Macaca fascicularis: one gene and its partner. The protein of the gene in region 2 interacts with the protein of the main gene of each other region in a pairwise test. Links are inferred from orthologs where the notes say so. Each region holds a gene or a part of one and is shown on either strand. Other genes may lie near its edges. The genes, in order: PEX3 and PEX16.

Evidence for each region.
Region 1: the proteins of PEX16 (region 2) and PEX3 interact in binary tests that used the Homo sapiens proteins (3 or more experiments, as listed by UniProt). The link is inferred for Macaca fascicularis from reciprocal best matches to the Homo sapiens genes PEX16 and PEX3.

Annotation. Positions count from the first base shown.
Region 1 is NC_088378.1:47,653,104-47,661,170, forward strand, and holds the start of PEX3 (peroxisomal biogenesis factor 3), read left to right. Parts: upstream 1-3,679; 5' UTR 3,680-3,915; coding exon 3,916-3,988; intron 3,989-8,067. Other genes in the region: ADAT2 (tRNA-specific adenosine deaminase 2), read right to left, coding at 3,439-3,534. UniProt on the Homo sapiens protein: Involved in peroxisome biosynthesis and integrity. Assembles membrane vesicles before the matrix proteins are translocated. As a docking factor for PEX19, is necessary for the import of peroxisomal membrane proteins in the peroxisomes.
Region 2 is NC_088388.1:19,941,838-19,950,008, reverse strand, and holds the start of PEX16 (peroxisomal biogenesis factor 16), read right to left. Parts: upstream 4,392-8,171; 5' UTR 4,081-4,391; coding exon 3,969-4,080; intron 3,763-3,968; coding exon 3,676-3,762; intron 3,410-3,675; exon of another isoform or gene 3,319-3,409; intron 2,238-3,318; coding exon 2,161-2,237; intron 1,780-2,160; coding exon 1,646-1,779; intron 1,512-1,645; coding exon 1,411-1,511; intron 628-1,410; coding exon 547-627; intron 410-546; coding exon 257-409; intron 145-256; coding exon 72-144; intron 1-71. UniProt on the Homo sapiens protein: Required for peroxisome membrane biogenesis. May play a role in early stages of peroxisome assembly. Can recruit other peroxisomal proteins, such as PEX3 and PMP34, to de novo peroxisomes derived from the endoplasmic reticulum (ER).

The DNA of each region.
Region 1 (8,067 bases), on a different chromosome or scaffold from region 2:
TTCAACTAACTAGTTTCCTATTATTTGACATTTAAGTGATTCAAATTCTTCACTATTATAAATAAGAACATCTCCATATAAATATTTCTATGGCTTCTTTGTGAATTATTCCTAGAAACAGCTGTAAAATACAAAGAGCTCCTACAGTGCGATTTTTTAAATCAAACTATTAGTAAAATTGGGCAAAGTATATGCCTCAGCAATTCACAAAAGAAAAAATCTAAATGTCCAATTAAATTACACAGTAGATATACAGTATTCAGGGTAAGGAAACTGAAAAGGAAGAAAGAGAGCAGAGGATATGTTGGCAAGCAGTGAGCTACCTAACACTAAGAGGCAGGCTAGGCCAGTATTTGACAGCAGACGACAGGGCTCAAGTCACAGCCCCATCCTTACCAGCTCTCTAACTTTGGGAAAGTTACTGAACTTTCTCAGCTTCAATATCCCCATCTGAAAATGAGGACCATAATAATACTCACCTGATAGGGCTGCTGTGGGGCTTATGACATGGCCCACATGAAAACACTGTGCATAGCATAGTATCTGGAACACACCAAGAGTGCAACACTATTACTTAGTCATACTTTTTTTTTCCAAGCCTATCTTTAGAATGCTATGCTGAACATGCTATGATGATTAAAACAATAACCTATGATGATGCTATGCTTAGCTCTCAGAAAGAAACCTAACAAGTAGTAAAGTTGATAACTTTATATGCTATCCAACAAATCCTTTTGTAGTTATGGAAATATCCTTTGATCTGCACTGTCCAATATGGTAGCCAGTGGTCATATGTGGCTTCTGACTACTTGAAATGTGGCTAACACAACTGAGGAGCTGGATTTTATTTTATTTCACCTTAATTAATTTAAAGTTAAATAGCTACACATGGTTAGTGACTACGATATTGGGCATCATGGTTCTAGAAGGCAATACAGGAGTATCTATATAATTTCAAAGCACATACATCCTTTGTCCCATTTTTGATAGTCACTCCATAGCAACAGAAATACCATGAGGTAGGGAGGAGTGATTAATATATTAAGACTACCAAAAAAATGTGCTGAGAATCAAAAAGAGAACATGTAAATCCATTTATGCAAAAGTACATATGGCTGTTTACATATGGACAGAGAGATATGGAAGGATGCTCCCAAACACTAATAGTATTATCTCTAATGATAGGACTGTCAGGTAATTTTTACATAATTGGTTAACCCTTTTTTATAGTTTGAATTTTTTATGCCCATGAATTATTTACATAATCAGAAAAATAAAACATTAAAATATTTTCACTTTGGGAAAAAAAAAAGGGGGGGCATTAATGGATCAAAGGATAAGCTCACTTTTAAGGCCTTTTATATCTACCTAGCCAAATTGTCCTAATAAAAGGGTGTTCTAAATTCAGTTCCTCCCAACCAACAAACACCTCAAACATGCACATCCTTATTATCACCAAGCATTAAAATTGCTTTCACGTTTGCCAATTTAACAGGTGAAAAATTGTGTATCATTTTACTTTGAATTTCATTAATAGTGAAATTGTGTATTCATTCATTTGCTGGCTACTCGTCACTTCTTTTAGAAATATCATGTTCAGGTGAGGTGTGGTGACCCACACCTGTAATCCCAGCACTTTGGGAGGCTGAAGTGGGACGATTGCCTGGGGCCAGGAGTTCAAGACCAGCTTGGGCAACACAGAGAGACCCTGTCTAAACAAAAAAACACTTTTAAAAATAAAAGGAAATTTTAAAAAGAAATATATTCATATCCTTTGACCTTTTCAGTATTAGGGTATACATATTTCCTCTTACCTCAGAAAGTACTTAGATTTTATATAAATTCTATGTTACGGTTATTAAACCTGTCCTTTTATATATGTTGCAAATATTTTCCTTCTCTGCGATTTCCTTTACTTTGTATCTTTTTTTTCTTTTTTGAGACAGGGTCTGGTTCTGTCTCCCAGGTTGGAGTATAGTGGCACAGTCATGGCTCACTAGAGCCTCAATCTCCAAGGCTGAAGCAATCCTCCTGCCTCAGCCTCCTGAGTAGCTGGGACTGCAGGCACATGCCACCATGCCCTACTGATTTTTAAATTTTTGTTTAGTAGTGACAGGGTCTCGCTATGTTGCCCAGGCTGTTCTTCAACTTTTGAGATCAAGAGATCCTCTTGCTTCTGCCTTCCAAAGTGTTGGGATTATAGGCATAAGCCACTGCATCTGGCCATGATACTTTGTATCTTATCTTTTTAAACATGTGGATGTTTTCAAAGAATTTCTAGACCTCTCTGGCTTTGAAATTTTTGTCTCTCAATTGTATTATAAACACCTAGGGATGTGATTCCATAGTTTACCTCCTCCTACACAAGACTAAGGAGGCAGCTGCTTCTTGGGTTTTGGCATATACATGTTTCTTCAAGGTCTTAAAGGGAAAAAAGTACTTGTTAGGAGGGCTACATGTCACTAGGCAATAGGAACTTTTCAGCTCCGTTATAATCCTATAGGACCACCGCTGTATATGTGGTCCTATAGATTATAACGGAGCTGAAAAGTGCTAGCGAGCTTCTTAACTGGGATAACAGTTTGTTTGTAAACGTATGTAAATGTATTTACTTGTGCTAGCCCAAGGTCAACCTAAAAGGTGGCAAAAAGGTTTAGCCCAGAAGTCTACATAGAGACTAGTGTTGTCTACCTCCATACCACCCTGAACGTCCCCCAATCTCGGACGCTGAGCAGGGTCAGGTCTGGTTAGTACTTGGATGGGACAATAGGGCTAAGGTGAGTAGATTTAATGCTCCAGGATAACGACCTTTACAGACAGGTCATTATGTGGCACGTGGCTGTATGTACAGTTATTAAAATGTAAATATACATGTTTGCAAACAAACTATTTTCCCAGTTAAGAAGCTCGCTAGCACACACCATTCTGTTGAAAGGCCCCTTTACTCCGCAGACCTGAAGGGAGTGAGGGAAGGACGTAAAAGGGCAGAGGAAAGAATGAATGAATGCGAGACACCGATTCTACAGGGATTTGTTTCCATACTGCTCTCTACCAGAAACGTTCTCAGTTTCCTTCCTTCTGCTGGACATGGTCCAGGGGCCAAAACCTCAAATAATGTGATTTTGTAGATTGGAGAGTGTGACCACAGAAAGGAAAGGGAGGCAGCACGTGCCAGCCAGCGACAGAATGCTAAGTCTGCAGCATACTCCACCCCAATGAAACAAATAATTTCTGTATTTCCTCCCTTTCCTTCGCCCATAGTCACTGTGAGAATGGGCTACAGAAAGTTTCGAGGCAGTAAAGCCAGTAGTTCACCCAGAACATCTGACTGCCATAAAAATTATGGTGACGAGAAAGAACGTTTGCTCAAATGCCGTGGTTGGGGTGAGGGCTGGAGAAAGGTCCCACCCCGCAGCATTCACCTCCCGGGCTCCTCACCATGTGCATTGCCTCCTCCATCCACTTTTCGGTCTCTTCTGCCGACACCGAGCACGCGCCGCCTGCAGCTGACTTGGGCGCCGCCTTCGCCTCCATACCCGGCCACCACTCAGCGCCAAAGGCCGCCGCGGAGGAGGAGCGCGGGCAGCGGAACGCGGCGGGCCCGGGCCCCCGTTTCCGGGGGAGTCGAATGGAAAGGCACTCGGGAGCGATTTCTGAACGGACCTGGGCGTGTCGGACCAGTGAGCAGCGGCGGCTGCGCCGCGGCAGCCGCAGAAAGCGCAGCTGCTTTGCTCTAGTCCACGCCCCCTTGCCGCTCCGGTGACAGTCTGCGGAAAGCCGCGTTTGTGATTTCGGGAGAGCGCAGAGCGGGACGGCGGCGCTCTTGCTTGGTCATCTGGGCCAGGTGACGAAGAAACAGTTTCCCGGTGAAGCAGCCCCTCACTCATAGTCAGCGCACACCCCTAGGGCCTAAAGATGCTGAGGTCCGTATGGAATTTTCTGAAACGCCACAAAAAGAAATGCATCTTCCTGGGCACGGTCCTTGGAGGTGGGTGACAACGTTCTTGAAAGGGGGCATTGGGAGAAGGGAGTGGGAGAGGTGACTTTTTCTAAAATAAGAACAGGCCGGGGCGAACCTAGTCTGGGATCTGTAGAGGGGATTCGATCAACCATGGGATGGAAAGGGAGGTGGCCAACCTCAAGGGTTCTCCCATCTCTGCAGTTGAGAAATGCCTCTGTGCCCTTTGCCCTGTCACCGCCTCTTAACTGTTTCTCACCTATCCTTTTTTCTCACGGACCTTTGGAGAATTCAGTACAGTTTAAGTTTCTGTTACAGGAACTTTTTAAAAAAAATTCTGCTTTCCTGTGAGATTCTTCATTTTTCCTTGGCACTCTTGGCACTATGGCTCTCACCCTTCTCAGGAGTTTAATAATAATCTAGGGGAGGTGGTTTAATAATAAATGATAAATAAATAAATAATAATAAACTCTCAGGAGTTTAATAATAATCTAGGGGAGGGAGTTTAATAATAATCTAGGTGGTGGTTAAAGTCGATTTGAATTTTTGAAAACAGCGCAGTTGTCCTGAAGGACTGAAAGAGATGGATTAGATAAAGAAAAACAAATCAATATTTTAGCTCTGTTTCTGCCATTTTAGAATACAAACTGTGGCAGTAAGAAAAATGCTTGAGGGATGTTGCGCAGTCTTCCTCAGGATCTTCAAGGTTGGGATCGTTGTAATCTAACTGACATAGCTGAGTTGCACGGGCCCAGAGGAGATTTAGAAACAGATAAGATAAAAATCTTGAGACCCTTTTCCCTCATACAATGCTCATGTGATAATATTCAGGGATTTGAAGGAGGGAATAAAAAGCTTTGTGAATTATATGAAAAGAACATCTAGGAACTTTAAAAGAGGAAATTTGTTGTAACTTGAGTTTTTGAGAAATATTCTTATCACTTATTATGTGCTGTGTTTACAGAAGTACTTAAAATAAAGAACAGAGGTTCCCAAAGAATTTGGTTGGCTTTTCTCTTAGTATTAGATTGTATTCTGTTCTCCCCAAACAATTTGAAATTAACAATACATATTAGATTGTATTCTGTTCTCCCCAAACAATTTGAAATTAACAATACTTATTAGATTGTATTCTGTTCTCCCCAAACAATTTGCAATTAACAATACTCTTAGCATCAATAGTTCAGATTTTGGTGATGCTTCAAAGTTTGAAACAGAGTTCTTGTTGCTGAGCCAAGGATGGTGTTTGCATGCCTCTGACATCTATCACAGATCAATAATAAGCGTGTAAATTTTGAACATCTTTGAGAAATCCTTTATATATAAAAGGTATTTTCTGATATCTTCATTCTCTAGTATCTAATGTATATTTAAATTATCCTAAGACTACTGAGTCCATTTTATTTATAAAAGCTAAAAATAGATGTGTGATTGAAGCAATACAAATAAAGTATTTTTGCCTTTACCGAAGGAAGGAAAATTATCTCTAACAATCTCAGAAGGAATACTCCTTCAGCTTATGGAACAACCTTGTGGTAAATTAGAAATAATCACAGGGGAAGCAAAAGAGTAGACTTAAAAGAAATTTATAATTAAAAAAAAAAATCTAACAAGAGCCTTATAGTTACAGAATAAGAGGAATGCAAAAAAAGAAAAGTTCAGACGGATAGAAAGAGAAAATAATCCTAGTGTTTTATATCAATAAAGGAGTCAGTCTGAAAAGAAAGGAAGAGTAGATGACCATGGTTGGCATTTGTTTGAGCCTCGTATTCTTTCTGCTTCAGGGAGAAAGTTCTACAGTATGTTAGATTTTAATTAATCTGACTTAAGAAATATTTATCAAGTACCTGTAGTGCTGAAAGTAATATGTATGGAAATACAAGATTTATAGATTTTTAATAGTAACAGCTACTATTTATTGGGAGCCCACTTTACACTGGGCATTGTGCTAAGCTCTTCCTATTTAGGCAGAATGACAAGAAGGCAGTTATTATTATCCCCATTCAAAAATGTGGCAACAAGAGCCCTAAGAATTTAAGAAACTTGCCTCAGGTCTCAGAATTAGTGAAGGGAAACTGGAATTCAAACCCAGGTGTGTTGGACCCCAAAGCACATTCTCTTTCCACATTATATCACTGTGCTTCCATGGTCTTTATGGTCTGATAGGAAGGAAAAGCAAGTATACATGTAATTAAGATACAGAAAAACAAGAGAGGTGAAAAAATGCTGTACAGATCACACTGGCAAGTAGCATATACAGTTGTGAAAAATCAGGAAGAATTTCATGGAAAAAGAGACACATTTTGACAGGCTCGAAAGCTGGACAGTATATCAACAGGATGCTTGGAGAAGTTTGGTCATTCAATCGTGGGGGAAATAAGTAAGTAAAACCTTCAGTAGCAGGCCTTCTTAAGTAACAATTTCTGTTTCCTTGAATTTTAGATGGGTAACTAATTGGTTTACACCAGTTTGTATAATTTGACCAGTTTTGGGTGTTTGGGTGTGTTCGGTTTTTGTTTTTGTTTTTTTTTTTTTTTTTTCAGACAGGGTCTTGCTCTTTACCCAAGCTAAAATACAGTGGTGTGATCATAGCTCACTACAGCCTTGATTTCTCCTTTGCTAGCTTTACAATGTAAGGCAAGTAGAAAGCTTCCTTATGAAGATTTGCCTGACACCTTCACACTTTCCTCACTCATGTGATCCTCTCACCTCAGCCTCCCAAGTAGCTAGGACTACAGGTGTGCACCATCAGGCTTGGCTAATTTTTAATTACTTTGTAGAGATGGGGGTCTCACTACATTGCTCAGACTGGTCTTGAACTCCAGGCTTCAAGCAGTCGTCCTGCCTCAGCCTCCTAAAGCGCTGGAATTACAGGCCTGAGCCACTGAGCCTGGCATAATTTGACCAGTTTGTGAAAAGGCTAGAGAATTGACTCCCAAACTTTTTGGTCTAAGGTCTCCTTTATACTCTGGAAAATTAAGGACCCTCAAAAGCTTTCTAAATTTTATATCTATTAATAGTTATGATATTCAAAATGAAAATGAAAATTTAAATATTAATTCATTTTTTAAAAACCTATTACATATTAACATAAATAACATTTTCAAAAAATTAATGAGTGTCATTGTTTTACATTTTGAAAATCTTTTTAATGTTTGACTTAATTGAAGAAAGCTAGATTCTCATCTCTTTCTATATTCTGTCAGTTGTGATATCACACAGCATGTAACCTCTGAATTACTCCACTGTATACTCATGAGAGAGTATGAGTATGAGAGAGAACGAGAATGAAAAAGGCAAATAACATTTTAGTATTATTACAAAAACAGTTTTGATTTTATAGACCCCCTGAAATGGTCTTAAAGACCCCAGGGGTGCCCTTGCCACACTTTGAGAACCATTGCACTGGAAAAAGTATTGGAAAACAGAGAGCAACCAGATTCATATTTATTGACTTGCTGGTTTCTAAAAAACTCAGAATATTGACTTGGATTTATACCTTAAATCCTGTAATCTCTGGCCTCTTCACATTTTTTATTCGTTTATTCATTCATTCATTCTGTCATTGAACAAACATTTGAATGAGAGTAAGTGCCTGTTCTCACTGTACTTTACTCTGGAAATACAAAGGAATAAGACTGATCCTGACTTGGAACTCATGGCACAGAAATGGAAATAAACAAAAGTAGTATGATAGTATAGTATGAAAATAGAGCAGGGTCTTGTGGGAGCATAGAGGAGAAGAAAGTGTGAAGATGTCAGGCAAAGCTTCATAAGGAAGAATTTCTACTTAAGTTTTAAAACTAGCAAAGGAGAAAGGACACAGCAAGAAAAAGAGCTATTCAAGAGGTTCAGCAACATTGCTTTTATGGATGAAACTATATTTCACTATGGCTGTGCAAATGAGAAGTGGCAAAAGATTAACTTGGAAAAGCAACTAGAGTACAGATTGTGAAGGGCCTTATGAAGCCATTCTACATAATTTGGATATTATCCTTTGTATTGGTGCTTCCTGGAGTTTAGTATGGATTTAAAAAATCACTTAAGGAGTTTAATAAAACGTAGGATCCTTTATTCCAGATTCTGATTCTTTAGGTTTAGAATGCAGT
Region 2 (8,171 bases):
CCCGCCTACGTGAGGCCGGGATTGTAGCAGAAAGCCCAGGAGAGTGGAGCCCCGGGCGGGCCCAGGCTCACCTGGTCACATCCACAACACCAGCCAAGAGCCAGGGTTTCCACGACCTCTGACCCCACAGCCCCAGGCTGAGCACTGACGGCCAAGGCGTCAAGGATGTCTCCAGCACAGGGACCTTGCTCGGCGCACCCCCCACTCAATCCCCAGCCCACAGTGCCAGCCCTATCCTGCCCCGCGCTAAGGATACAGTGCAGCAGCGGCCGGGCAATGTACAAAAACTCTGCGATGGTCTCCTGCAGCCCCAGGGGGGTGGGGGTCGCACTCAGCTCCTCGTGGTGCTGCTGCTGCCATCCCTCCCGCTGCTGGGGAGCTCCCCAGTGCCTGGAGTGCAGGGACGGCGCTAGAACACAAGGGCAGCAGATAAGCGAGCCAGGCCCGGGCTGGGGCAGGGGAAGGTGGCTGCTGACCAAAGCCAGTCCCTCAGGCCCAGGCAGACACAGCACCTAGGTGCCCAGGCCAGCCACATCCTCCACTTACTGTTCTGGAGGGTTCGCACCACCCGGTTTGACCGCTTCCCCACGTAGGACTGCTCATGGCTGCCATGGCTGTGGTCACCATCTAGCAGGGATAGACAGAAGGCCATACAGTCAGAGGGACATGCTTCCAGCGGAGCCTGCAAAGAACATGCATGCAGTGAATGCTCAGGGGCTAAGGGGAGAACAGATGAGCTTCTACTATGGCAACAGCTGAGTCAAGGGAACTACAACTGGGGTGGTGGCTCAGCACGAGACCTGTCCACAGAGGAAAGCACTCTGCAGCCCTCCCTGGCCTGGGGAAAGCTCAGCATAGCTGTGGCCAGAACCAGCCTCCTGGAACCCATGGACAAGCAAGGCAGGGAGGGCCCAGCCTGACCACATCTATGGGGACCACAGCACCAGAGGGGCTGTCTCCTCTCAAGCCTTTGCCTTCAAAACAATCATGATGAGAGGCAATGAACTGCCCCCACTCAATGTCCAGAGAGTGAAGCCCAGAAGCTGACAGGATGGGCTCAAAGCCCTGAAGGGACAGATGTGGCAGGTTCCCTGCCTTCTGCCTCTACAGGCTGTGGCTCTGGACACAGAACCAGGCCCAGAGGCAAGGTTGGCAGCATCCCATCTGTTCCCTCTTCCTGCAGGCCACAAAAATGAATGACTCTGGCCATGACAAGTACTGGGTTTGTGTTCTGATTTTGTCCCTAGCCGCATCACTGTCTTCTTCATCGAATACAGGGCAATGAGAACAGAGGTGGTGGGGTCAGGTGTGCTCCAAAAACAGATACTACTGTATTCATGCTGGTTGGATCTAAATCCTCAAGTTAGTCCCACAGCCCATTCCACTCTAGGGCTTGGGGAAGTAGCTCACCCGGGGGCTGTGCCTGGGTCTCTCTGTCCAGTGGAACGATGGGGGGTGAGGTCTGGAGGCCAGCCTTGAACCAGAGCAGCAGGAGCATCCGCAGTACAGCCCTGGGTCGGGGAGTATGTCAGGGCTGTGGGGAGGTGGCTAGCCGGCGGGAGGTCAGGGATGCTCTGCTGAGCACCATCTGTGTAGTTGGCCTGCGTCACCCCGACCCAGGACCCCCTCCACAATCCCAACCTACTTGGCCAGTTGGATGAGGGCGATGACAAGCCAGCGGCCCACTTCGCCCCACACTTTGGCAGCTCCCATCTCCATGAACACCTCCACGCACTCCAGCACGCTCAGCCATGTCAGCAGCTTCTGCTGGGACAGCGACTGCAAGAACCCCAGGCCAAGAAGTCAGGGGGCTGCCTGTTGTCCCAGGCCCTTCTCCTAGGAGGGAGCTTCTCTGACAAGAGATGTGGACTTGCCCCTTTCCAAGACTAACTGTGCAGGTGTGAGTTCAAACACCAACTCCACCACTAACAGGCTGGGGGACCTGAAACAGCTGACTCTACCTCTCTTCATCTGAGACAGTCTCTTCATCTAAGATGGAATACTCACACTTTACAGCTCACCTAATGAGATGGTTGAGGCTCAGATGGACATAGGCCTGTCTCATACTCCATGAGACACGTGCTGCATGCATGGGCTAGCTGCTACTATTTCATTCCTGAGTCCCCATGCTTCCCACCCTGTTCCTGGCAGAATTCTCACCACAGGCAACTTTTTCCGAAGCTCCTTCCGTAGGATCCCGTCATTGAGCAGCACAAGCAGGTTAGAGGCGGAGTACACTGAGGGGTAGAGTGTGGCCTTGAGAGGCTGGCTCTGCAACCTCCATCCCTCTCACCTTCTGCCCAGAGCTGCAGGGATCACATGTCACCTGCTCTGCTCAGACACCCACAGACTATGTGGAAACCAGCCTGCCTCTCCACCCACTTCCTCAGCACTCCCCTCTCCCCAACATGATCTCACAAGGGTGGTTGGACCAAGAAAGGATGGGTCAATCTCAGTGACAAGCCAGCTACTGCCCTGTCGGATGGCACTGGTCATCCAGCTGCCCACAACTGCCCATTGCTCTCTGAACTGCCACAGATATGCGGTCCTTCCTCCTGGCCTTTTTTCTCTCGGCAGCCTGTCCCTGAGGGTCTATTCCACCTCCACTTTTCCTTTTTCTTTTTTTTTTTTTTTTTTTTTTGAGACGGAGTCTCGCTCTGTCGCCCAGGCTGGAGTGCAGTGGCCAGATCTCAGCTCACTGCAAGCTCCACCTCCCGGGTTTACGCCATTCTCCTGCCTCAGCCTCCCGAGTAGCTGGGACTACAGGCGCCTGCCACCTCGCCTGGCTAGTTTTTTGTATTTTTTAGTGGAGACGGGGTTTCAGTGTTAGCCAGGATGGTCTCGATCTCCTGACCTCGTGATCCACCCGTCTCGGCCTCCCAAAGTGCTGGGATTACAGGCTTGAGCCACCGCGCCCGGCCCACTTTTCCTTTTTCTTTCTTTCTTTTTTTTTGAGTCAGAGTTTTGCTCTTGTTGCCCAGGCTGGAGTGCAACGGCACAATCTCGGCTCACTGCAACCTCTGCCTCCTGGGTTCAAGCAATTCTCCTGCCTCAGCCTCTCAAGTAGCTGGGACTACAGGCACCTGCCACCATGCCCAGCTAATTTTTGTATTTTTAGTAGAGACGGTGTTTCACCATGTTGGCCAGGCTGGTCTCAAACTCCTGACCTCAGGCGATCCACCCGCCTCTGCCTCCCAAAGTGGCTGGGATTACAGGCGTGAGCCACTGCACCTGGCCTCACCTCTGCTTTTCAAAACCCACTTCATTCTTTCAGGACTGTGACAGCAGTCACTGGACAAACACTCTTGAGGTAGTTACCATCTGCGAATCCTGGAATCTGGGAGATCTAGACTCGAATCTTTGTTCTGGGACCATCAGTAAGTGTTCTCTAACCTCACTGAACTTCTTCCTTAAATGGACAGTGAGGACAATAACAGTTCCACTTAATATGACTGTAGGGAGGATTAACAAGTAAAGGTAAGAAAGGTACTTAGCCCAGCTCCTGGCCAGTAGTGAATACTCAGATAAGGTCCCCAGGCTGTCTCTTGACTTAGGGACATGGAAGGCCCAGGACAGTGAACAACAGACCTTGTTCCGATTCAGTCATAGCACAAGGAGTCTAACGGGCAGTCCAGGACCTCGGGTTGGGGTGTTCACCCGCTCTGGGGAACTCACCTGGGGCCAGGCAGCCGATCCCCCATCCCCCACCCCCAGAGCCCGGCTCACCCAGCTCTGACAGCTCGTGCGAATCGGCGAATCGACCTGGGGAGAGGGTACAGAGGGAGGTGTGAGTGAGCATCTGCCTTACATTTAGTCTTCAGGTCCCGGACGTCCCCTCCCTACGCCCTTTGGGAACCTGGATGGGTCTTCTCAAGCACAGCGATCACTACCCTGACTCCGCAGGGAAGGGGGCCACTGGGGTCATAGGTCAGGGCCCAGAAGGAACGGATCAAAGGTCAAGGTGGCACCTGCCAGCAGGTAACTGAGGCCCCGCACTGCCGTCTCCAGCTGGGCCGTGGCGGCCGGGTGACGAGTCACGTACTCCTGGTAGCGGAGGCCCAGGAGCCGCAGCTTCTCCATCCTGCCCTCGGCACCAACAGATCCACGGAAGGACTGTACGCCAGGCTGCGGCGCCCTGCTTCCTGCGCCCTCCTTCCTGCTTCCGGTCTTAGGCCCACCTCTGGGTTGCTTAACTTCCGCGGGCCAGAAGGCTGGTGACTTGAAGAGCCGGTGAACCACCCTTCACCCCATCTCTTGAACCACTTCCCATTCGGGTAGCGCTTAGCAACTGAGGGCCCAAACCCGGCCCCCTACTCCCTCAAGTCATTGGTTAGCACGCTCACCGCCCCTGACCCGCCCAGTGTGATCGGCACCCAGCTCTTCCGTTTACTGGGTTGGCTGCCTTTGCGCCTGCGCAGTTAACACTCCGGGACAGCTGGGCGGCAGTCAGAGCAGTTCATTCTAGAGAAGGGAGCTGGAGCGCCGAGTCTTTCCAATGGAACGCCGAGAGACTCGAACGGCAGGGCCGGACTTTAAAGGGCTGGGAGATAGCGGGTTCTTGAAAAAAGGAGCCTCGATCAGATTCGGAGAGATGCGGGCGTCTAAATGCAGTCGGACTGTGTCTCAGAAGGCGCGCGTTCGGCCAGTATCCCCATCTCCGTTTCCTCAACAAAGGTAGTGCTGGGGAAACTCAGGCAGTAAGGAGTCCAGCCCCCTAGTGCCGTCTGGATCCCCTAGACAGCACAGTTAGTGCTGGGTTTCGGCCCCAGCTCCCGTATGCACTGTGCCCCCCACGGGCGCGCGCCTGCATTCCCACATACGCGAAGAAAGCCCTGGCCCGGGCTTCTCTCGGCTAGGGGGCCCTTGGGCGGGAGTGTCCCTTCTCTGGGTCTCGGATTTCCCGATCTGTAAAATGGTTTGAGGGCAGACTTGATCCTTGAACTCAGAATCGATCTCAGCTTTTCGGCCCTCGGACGCACCTCGCAGTCCTCAGCTGCGCCCCAAGGGAGGGGGCGACTCCTGCGGAATACCTTCCCAAACCAAGCAGCCTCCCTGGAACGGGTGGCATCGGGAGAGCTGCGGCGAGTGGTGGAGGGGACCGGCGCTCTGGGGGGGCAGCCGCTGATTGGCTGCGGGGAAAGGGGCGTGGCAAGGGTGAAGCAGTGGGCCAGCGGATTTATGGTACCCTGAGAATAGTAATAGTAATGCTTTTTGTTTGTTTGTTTTGTTTTGTTTTTTTTGAGACGGAGTCTCGCTCTGTCGCCCAGGCTGGAGTGCAGTGGCCAGATCTCAGCTCACTGCAAGCTCCGCCTCCCGGGTTTACGCCATTCTCCTGCCTCAGCCTCCCGTGTAGCTGGACTACAGGGGCCCGCCACCTCGCCCGGCTAGTTTTGTTTTGTTTGTTTGTTTGTTTGTTTGTTTGTTTGTTTTTTTGGAGACGGAGTCTCGCTCTGTAGCCCAGGCTGGAGTGCAGTGGCCGGATCTCAGCTCACTGCAAGCTCCGCCTCCCGGGTTCACGCCATTCTCCGGCCTCAGCCTCCCGAGTAGCTGGGACTACAGGCGCTGCCACCTCGCCCGGCTATTTTTTGTATTTCTTAGTAGAGACGGGGTTTCACCGTGTTAGCCAGGATGGTCTCGATCTCCTGACCTCGTGATCCGCCCATCTCGGCCTCCCAAAGTGCTGGGATTACAGGCTTGAGCAGGATGGTCTCGATCTGCTGACCTCGTGATCCGCCCGTCTCGGCCTCCCAAAGTGCTGGGATTATAGGCTTGAGCCACCGCGCCCGGCAGTAATGCATTATTTTATCTAATCCTCTCCACCAGATATCACCAGATGAAGAAAGCATCCGTTTAAGAACGCCCAGCCAAAATTTGAGTGCTGGTCTTTTCTGACCTCAGAGACTAGGCGGTTTCTTTTTATTCATTTTTTTTTTTTTTTTTAACTTTAATTTTCTTTTTAGAGACCAGGTCTAAGCATTACACCTCACCAGGAAACCACAGCCTTCCTTCCACTGCCTCACCCCACCCTACTCCATAGCTTAGTTTTCTTCTCTATCAGGTGGGGGATTAGAGCTGCCCTCTACTCACATCAAAGAACGACGACGCAGGGAAAGGTGACCAGGGAGGAGGTGGTCATGGGCATTGTCGACATCATTTCTGGCCACCCTCTGTGCCAGGCTTGCTTACCCTCCTCCCAGCAACCCCAAGTTGCCATGAACTGTTCACAGATGGGAAATTAGAGGCCAATAAGGAGGGGAAAGGATTTGTCCCACATGGCACAGCAAGGCACTGGCCAAACGGGCCACAACGCAGGTCTCCAGTGGCAGTGACCTCTCTCCTACTGCCCACAGCCCACAAGAACTGTGACATGTTGAGGCTCCTTGGTCATGAGGCCAGTTAGCAACTGGGATTAGGACCTAGGCTTGGGGCCCTCAAGGTGACGCTCCTTCTCCTTTCCTCTGCCCCACCTTGTTTTTTGTTTGTTTGGTTGTTTTTGAGACGGAGTCTCACTCTGTCGCCCAGCTGGAGTGCAATGGTGCAATCTCAGCTCACTGCAACCTCTGCCTCCCAGGTTCAAGCGATTCTCCTGCCTCAGCCTCCCAATTAGCTGGGCCTACAGGCGCCCGCCACCACGCCCAACTAATTTTTGTATTTTTAGTAGAGATGAAGTTTCACCATGTTGGCCAGGCTGGTCTCGAACTTCTGACCTCAGGTGATCTGCCTGCCTCAGCCTCCCAAAGTGCTAGGTATGAGCCACCATGCTCCAACATCTTAATGAACTTGTTCCTCAAACCTCCAGGTTGGCCACTCTTCCGGCCCTCCCTCTGCAGCTGTGGAGAGGGTGTGGAGGGAGAATTTGAGGTTCTTCAGCACTCCTTGGGCTGGAGGTCCTGTTTCTGAGGAGAGCAAGGTGTGGAGGGGAGAGGGGCCGACTCCCCAGGACAGAATAGGTAGGGGCTTGGGCTGGAACCAGTGTCTCCTCCCTCCCTCCAGAACTGGGAGGGGGAGCATGGGCCCAGCCAGGTTGGCAGCAGCAGGTCTGCCTGAATTTCCTCTCTAGATCCCAGGCCTGATTAGGCCCCAGAGACAAAGAGTTGCCGTGTGTGCAGGAGGCTCCTAGGGTGGCCCTCCCCTGCTCCCTGGCCCCCTGCCTGGACTTGGCCGTCTTGTTGGGCTGGAAGGATTTTGGGGCAGGTTGAGCTGTATCATATCTCCTTCAATTTGCCCCAAGTCACAGGGGAAGAGAGGTAGACCAGTCCAACATGTACAGATGAGAGTACCAGAGGCCCAGAGAGGGAGCCTCACTGGTCTAAGGTCATACAGCAAAGTCCTGGGCAGAGCTGGGTCAAAATGGGTCTTAGGCCAAGAGGAACAGCACCGTTTATATGCCCATACTTGTCTCTTTCTCCCTCCACGCCCCTAGAACAACCCCTTGGGGGCCTAGAAGGCATCTCAGCACTTCAGTTTCCCTGAGTGGTGAGGCTGAGCCAGAAGAAGGGCCAGCGTTGTGAGTGACCACAGTGAGATCTGCAGACCCAGCTTCCTGCACTGACTCCCCCGGCCCCTTTACTGAAGACGAATCCTGGGCCAGCCCCCAACTGTGTGTGTGCTCTACCTGGTCCCACATGGTGTTTGTTTGTTTGTATTTAGAGACAAGGTCTCTGTCACCCAGGCTGGAGTGCAGCAGTATGATTATGGCTCACAGCAGCCATGACCTCCTGGGTTCAGGTAATCCTCCTACCTCAGCCTCCCAAGTAGTAGGCGCATGCCACCACACCCAGCTAATTTTTGTATTTTTTTGTAGACATAGAGTTTGGCCACATTGACCAGGCTAGTCTCGAATTCCTGGTCTCAAGCAATTCACCCGCCTTGGCCTTCCAAAGTGCTGGGATCCCTGGCCTGGTCCCACATGTTCAACCGCCACAAACAGTCTCTGTTGAGGGTCCTGGAGAGGGAATCACGTTCCGCCACCCCAACTTTAGGCTAGAGATGAAGGTCAGGGAGGCTGGAGGCTCAAGCTCCAGATGCCTGAGTGGCCCTTGCATGGCCCTTCTCAATTCCCGGGTGTACAAGGAGCCGCCATCAGTCTCCATAGCAACCATTATCCCTGCTCTCCAGAGACCCAAAGCCTGACCTTCCCCATCTCCCAGAGGAAGGCTCCTGGCCTCACA